Linked DNA regions of Caenorhabditis elegans. The protein of the gene in region 2 purifies or fractionates together with the protein of the main gene of each other region. This does not show direct contact. Each region holds a gene or a part of one and is shown on either strand. Other genes may lie near its edges.

Region 1 (3,535 bases), on a different chromosome or scaffold from region 2:
CGTTTACGCATGGCAACAGACCGTCTTGGCATTCTTCTGAAGAAAACAAATTCATAATTGTGACCGAATAGTTGTGTGGTGATAAAAAACACAAGAAGCATTAGTTTTGGCGTAAGCCACGGTGATCCCGATGGTACCAACATAGACGTGAACTCAACTTATTTGCTATGTTTGACTATGGTAACATATCATGGGTCTTGGCGCGAAAAAAGTTTATTGTATAATTTTTTTACTTTGACTAAGTACTGTTTCGTTTATTTTTCATGCATTCAATTCAATTCAATTCAATTAATAAGTTTTTAGCGAATTTTATCGTTTCCTTTTCATTTTTCTGTTTTCAAGTCGGAAGCAGCCGTAAAAATCCAAAAAAAGTCTACCATAAACATTTTGCGCGTCGAGACCCATCTGAATAAATCCATGCGCCTTTAAGAAGGTGTGACAAGATCTTGTAAATTTACCATAATTTGAAATTTAAGCTACTAAAAAACACATTCCAAAAGACGGAGAAACTGACAGAAAATTATCGAACGTGCACACACACTCTCTTCAATAGCTGCGTCTCTTCACTCTATATCATGTGGCCTCATAGATCATTGGGGCGCTTTTGCCAACTGTTCAGAGTCGATAATTAATATTTTATTTTATTTCAACAACAGAAACGTTCTAAAAACGTTCAAAACATAAATGCAACGAAACACATGATTGATTGTGTGATGAGATTCATGAAGATGACACGGCTTGGCCTGAGTTGGAGGGAACCTTGAAAAAATGTCAATTTTAAATGCTCAAGGTGAAACTACAAAGTTACCTTAATTACTGGACGTCGAATCTAATCTGATCGCCATGCTCAGAAGAATTTCATTGGGTGTTTGGTTGGTGGAGTCTCGGCTGATATGCATAGATCCACGACTTGAAGTCATTTTTAGAATTTTCAGCTCTTCTTCAGCCTTTCTACGTGCACTTCTCTCCATTTCCAAATCTTCTCGCAATTCCCAAATGTCTCTATTTGAATCGTTGGGTACTTCCACGGATTCCGATCTGTCGCCGATCACATTTCTAATTCGTGCACTTAGAGCAAGCTTTTCAGAGAGCACATCATTAAATCGATCTTTCCACATTTCTTTTTCTCGTAGCAGAATCAAATTAGATTGTGTAGCGCTCTCCATTTCGGATTTGATCTTCATATCAACTTTAAACTGATTTCCTTGTTGTGCTTTCAAGAATTCCAGCTCCTTCTTGAGTTGGTCGGTGACTTTTAAAAGTTCAACATTTTCAGCAGCAGTAGTCTCGAAACAATTTTTGTAGAACTTCGACTCCTCTTCAGCGCTGTCAATTTCGGATTTCAACTTTTTATCAACTTTAAACTGGTTTCCTGGTTGTCTCTTTAAAAATTCCAGCTCTTTTTTGAGTTCATCAGTGGCTTTTAAAAGCTCGACATTTTTAGCAGCAGCTGTTTCAAATCGGTTTTTGTAGATCGTCGACTCCTCTTTAACGATCTTGTACTGGTCTTCAGTGTATCTGTAAATAATTTATATTGTTCTGAATTGCTTCCGTGTAAAACTAACGTCAATGGAAGATTGTGCAGTTTCATCAGAGCTTCCTGTTGTTCGATTTCTTTCTTTTTTCTAGCAAGTGTACCCATAAATCCACAGATTCTTGCATGTTTTTGTCTTTTATTAGGGGGTGGCATGCTTCTGGAAAAAAAAAACTATGATGGAAAGTCTTAACAGGAATTTAAAAAAATTAATAATCGTTGAGATATTTGGATTAAATAATATTATTTTGAAAATGTCAACAATTACAAAAAAAAAAAAAGCTTTTCGAAAATACTTTGTCTATTTATTGGTTTATTCTAATAAAATAAATGCAGTAACGTTTCAAAAACGCTCAAAACAGAAATTAAACGAAGCAGATTTTTGAGTGCTGAGATTCATAAAGTTGAGATGGAATGTGTTGAGTGTCGATTGAGGAATTCTGAAAAAAAAACAATAAAAATTTTCAATCGTTCTTGTAAAATACAAAATTACCTTAATTAACCGACGTCGTATCCAATCCTATCGCCATTTTCAGGAGCATCTCATTGGGTGTTTGGTTGTTCGAGCGTGTGGAGCATTGATTTCTCGGCAGAGATCCACGAGTTGAATTCATTTTTTGAGCTTTCGGTTCTTCTTCCGTTTTTCTACGAGCACTTCTATCAATTTCCAAATCTTCTCGCAGTTCCCACGTGTTACCATTTGAATCATTAGGCACTTCTACGGATTCTACTATGTCGCCCATCATACTTTTCACTCGTGCACTTAGCGCAAGCTTCTCAGCGAGAACATCATAATACCGATTTTGCCAAATTTCTCTTTCACGAAGCAACGTCATATTTGATTGCCTGGTGCTCTCGATTTGGGATTTGAACTTCATATCGACCTTCAACTGATTTCCTTGTTGGTTTTTCAACAATTCCAGCTCTTTTTTGAGTTGATCGTTGGATTTTAGAAGTTCAACGTTCTCGGCGGCAGTAGTTTCGAAGCAATTTTTGTAGAACTTCGACTCCTCTGCAACTTGTTCGTACTGTTCTGCAGTATACCTGTAAATTCGTTCAATTTTTCGCAAAAATATCTAAATAAAACTAACGCTAACGGATGCATGAGAAGAGCTTCATGTCGTTCAATTTCCTTTCTTTTTTTTGCGGGTGGGCCTTTCAGTCCATTGATTCTACCTGCCGCTCGTCTCTTGGACAGTGGCATTTTTCTGAAAAGAACCAATATTTTGTGAGGGAAATTTATAAAATTTCGCAAAAATCAAAAGTAAAACATCGCACGCACATTGATATCCATTAACTGATATAATTTAACAAAAGTGAGACAATCAAGAGAAAAAAGTACAATCAGTCTCGTAAAAAGAAACCGAACAAACAAAATCCGTCTCGTTGTCCCGCGTCTCTCATCTCTGGTGCATGACGCTGGAGCGCACTTTCCTCTTCTAAATTTCATTTTCTGTAGAAACTTTCAGGCTTGTCAGAAACATAAAAAGCCTTGAAATATGCACTTTATAGGATTAAAATGGATCCATCATATTTTTGTATTCAAACTAAAATTGTTCACAGAATGTTTTGTTTGGATATGCAGAAAGAGAATCCAAAAAATACTATGATAAATATTCGCAGTATTTCCATAGGAATATATTTATTGGATTGCTTTGGATAATTTCCTTTTTAAATATCATAATTTTGCAAAAATTTCACACGTCAGTTTAAAGGTACACGCTGATTTCCTGAATAGGTCTCGCCACGATCTCGATCATAGTGGTTGTTAAATACTGGTGCCCTGTGAAGTTTATGTAATTTCAAATTCTGAACTGTGCAGGGAAACCAAAAATTTGTCCGAAGACATTCATAGATTAGTTTTATGTTTTTTTGCGAAGAGATGCTACAGTAATCTCAATATTTTTTTAAATTCTAAGAGCTCATATCACGAAACTACATGAACAACCTAATTATAGATTCATCTCTGTCCAAATTATCAGAAAACACTAGAAACTACAA
Region 2 (3,728 bases):
ATTCTTTAGACAAAATTTTTCTTTGGAATGGTGGGTCATGGGTCCGCACGTACCCAAGTTTCTCTCTGAGACTGAGCAAAATGTATAAGTGGGCTCTCAATACAATTTTCTGTCATAGGTACGTGCAGACATTTTTAAGCAAACGATCGATCAAACCAAGTAATGAGCAAAAATAGTGCTAATAGGTTAAGATTTCCTACGAGGCAGGTTGCATACCCTAGCAGATATTTCTAAATAGATTTTGTACCAAATATCATTAACTGGGGAGCCTTCAGTAGTTGTCCTATTTCCTGGCACTTGTTAATTTTCAAAAAATTATTCAAATTCCCACTATTTTCAGATTAATGACGCTTTCATCATGCTTCCACCACCTTCAGCAGCCGCAATGATCCCATCAGATTCAGAATCCGAAGACGACGATAATTTCATTATTACTCGATTTTAAATTATTTGTTTTACTTAAATTCTTAACTAAACTCTAGTCAATTGTCTCTCTACATTCCAGTGCCAAACCACCATTCCATTAAAAATAAATTTCTCAAATAAAACCGATTCGATTTGCGAAAAAAGCAATATATTTTATTTTCATTTCTTCACAGCACAAAAAATAACAATTTGGAAGGTATGTACAGAATCCGTTTCGATCAAACGCGTCAATGGGAGGTTTCAAGCAACTTTTTCAGATGCTCCTCGGCGGCTTCCAGATCATCACGGAGATAACGGAGTTTTGCAGGGGTCACAAATTCCTCGTTGTATACGTTTTTCTGGAAAAGTAAAAGGGTTTAAAGGGTGGAATGGGATAATCTTTTGTGGCCTACACTATCTTTTTTAAGTTGTTAACTGATCTACAATCTCGAAAATTCCCCGTAAAACTGCAATTTTTGAGTAATATGTTCAGTTACAGCCTTTTGGAAACTCAAAATCCTAGTGCTTTGTCATTTGAATTTTGCATTTTGTCCAGCGTACAGAATAGTTTTTGCTAAGTAGTCGAGAAATTTTATAATTTGACGTTTCAGAGAAATTGAAAACTATTTTTTTCCGAAAACGGGCTTAACTATTGCAATTTTTTAAATTTGAGGTTGTGGAATAAAGTACTGTTTCCATCGCAACATAATTTGCGCGTAAAACATGGTGCATCGGGTCCGTGAATTGAAAAAGGAAAATTTTGTTTTTTCAAAAAATGTCGATGCACCATGTTCAATTCATAATTCAACTATGTATTTAAGGGTGCTAATGGACAATCTAATTTCAAATTTTCTTCAAAATGATTCACAGAAATTAAAGAAAACCTTACCAAAGCCATTTCACTGCGAATTACTTGATACCGAGCCAATTCCAAGTCACACTCGAACTTTGTCTGATCATCGCAATTTGGCGCGTCGTGGATTCTAATGAGATCATACTCTTGACGGCCGATTTTGGCAAGACGGGCGGCTTCGTCGCACATTTTGTAATTATTAGCTGAAATATGAAATTGGAATAAAATCTAAAATTTTGTTATGCAAATCGGTTAATAGAAGGAGAGATGAGAGCGGTGGAGAGAATACGATGAATAGATAATTTGACGTTTCAGAGAAATTGAAAAGTGACCCGGACTAGATCGGAGATAAAATCTTCGAGTTGCGTACGGATGGACCTGTCTCCGGAGACGGGGGAAAACTGACAAAGGTATTCGAAAAAAGGTAGGAAGGACCCCCAAAAGAGGCGGGGTTTAGATACACTTTAAACTGTAAAACAACAATATAAGATAGTGAGAGAAAGAGAGGCTGAGAGGAAGACGGTAGAGACGCAGAGAACCACGAGGTGATCGAGATAAACAGATGGAGAGAAGATCAATCAACGTACTTTGTGTGCTTTTTGATTTGATGTCTCGGTTTTTTTCTGTGTGGGAATCATGTTGATTAGAGATTATTTACAGAGATATGTAAAATTGATAATTTTGAACAAAACGTGGAAAAAATGAAATTTTTGAATTAGAATTATGAATTTCTGAATCTGTGTTTGATTCTTCTAGAATTTCAGTTTTAAGTTTATGCAAAAGTTTAATACACAATTAGATTAATTATAATATTATACGTCGGCTAATTTTTGTAACATCTGATGCAATTGCGCTCTATTAGACGGAATTATTTTTCGGGGATTTTATAATAAGTAAAAACACAGTCCGAGTAGAAAGCTTTGTTTTATTTTAGTTAGTTTTAAACCAGTAAATTAAAAAAAAATAGACGTGCGTCTTCATTGGGTTACTGTAACTTTCTGAAAATCTTTTGATAACTACCGTAACTCTTTAAAGGCGCAAGTCTCTTTTCATTATTTTAACTAAAATTCAAAGCTAAAAATCGGTTTTTTTATAAACGGATTAATTGACAGATTAAAATATTCCTAATGAACGCAAGAAAATAACAGCCACGTGGGTTCTGAAAAATTGCAAACCAAGCAATTTTTGATTCCAAGGTAAACAAATTGTCAGCGAACTCTCTCTCTTTCTTTCAATAACCTCGTGACGAGTCTTCCAAACTACAGGTAAATAATCGAGATGGCTATCTAAATTATACGGTTTTCTTTCTTCTTTGTTGGAATTTAATTTCAAATTTTTTAGGTTCAGGGTCACACGTGTGCCTACAGGAAAACTGTAATGTAGTCTATCTGACAGGTGTCCATCCCAATCAATCATTAAATGAATGCTCTCCGAGCCGTTCACTCCTTATCTTATCTCGATCACATGGCTCTCTGTGACGTCACATGTTGTTTTCCCAATTCGGTTTTCAGCCGATTCATTCCATAATTACTTTGCACCTGAACGAGAAACGAACAAAGAATAAAAATTAAAACTTCTTCAATTAAAAAGTTGGTTGAACAAGGAGAAGAATGACAAAACAGACAGAAAAAAGGAATTATCATCACACGGAAGTTTTCGAAAGTGGTACTCGAATGTTGCCCAGGCGAATTAGCTCGGCACCGTATTTCTCATACAATTCCCCTCCCTCAGCGAAATCTTTGGCCGCCTCTCGCATCGTCAACGCTATTCTTCGTCCACGGATGTGGTGAGCGAGAACTCCGTGCTTCCAATCATATCTACATTCATCGGCCATACAGAGAAGAGAACGATGAGGCATATGGACGTAGCATAAGAACGATTTATTATCGTTGGATAGAGTCATCACGGATCCATTGATTAGGTTGATGCTGAAAAATTGATTGGATTCTTCAAAGTTCTTTAAATTTTGGAAATTAAAAAAAAATGAAATGGGGACAAACAGTATTTAAATTTATTATTCTCGAGGCAAGGCATTTTTTTGAACACAGTTTTTGAGAAAAATCAAATACTCTGAAGTTTTCAGATCTTAAAAAAAATTTTTTTTTTTGTAGATTACTGTCAATGGGAATTTCGTTTTAAAATATTCGCGTTTTTTTTGCAAAAATAAAAATTTTTTGTCGAATTTCTGCCGAAAATAATATTAATTAAACAGTACTTTTTTAAAAAGGAATTCATACCTTATCAATCGATTTCCCCAAATCCACATATCATCCTGATGCATCTCAATGGCACTTTTCTTCACTTCCTCATACTCCAAATTGCACATTTCGAATGGCTGATAATTTCCGAGTTTCTTCACGTCGTATTCACTCATCTTATTGAGCAACATGTCTGCGTACTCTGGCATTCCGACAAATGTGTCCGTTTTTACCTTTTTATGCTTGAAATTCACTTTCGGTCCGTAGTCCTG

The links.
Region 1: the proteins of F09F7.6 (region 2) and C49C3.7 fractionate together in Caenorhabditis elegans (co-fractionation; one large-scale study listed by BioGRID). This does not show direct contact.

What each region holds. Positions count from the first base shown.
Region 1 is NC_003282.8:17,330,734-17,334,268, reverse strand, and holds C49C3.7 (Coiled-coil domain-containing protein 176), read right to left. Parts: upstream 1,709-3,535; 5' UTR 1,691-1,708; coding exon 1,566-1,690; intron 1,519-1,565; coding exon 810-1,518; 3' UTR 809-809; intron 760-808; 3' UTR 623-759; downstream 1-622. Other genes in the region: C49C3.15 (DUF4515 domain-containing protein), read right to left, coding at 1-32; C49C3.6 (uncharacterized protein), read right to left, coding at 2,029-2,578, 2,626-2,738.
Region 2 is NC_003281.10:5,550,669-5,554,396, forward strand, and holds F09F7.6 (Ferritin), read right to left. Parts: upstream 1,468-3,728; 5' UTR 1,448-1,467; coding exon 1,295-1,447; intron 765-1,294; coding exon 654-764; 3' UTR 564-653; downstream 1-563. Other genes in the region: F09F7.5 (CRIB domain-containing protein), read left to right, coding at 341-445; nmad-1 (DNA N6-methyl adenine demethylase), read right to left, coding at 2,901-3,186, 3,496-3,725.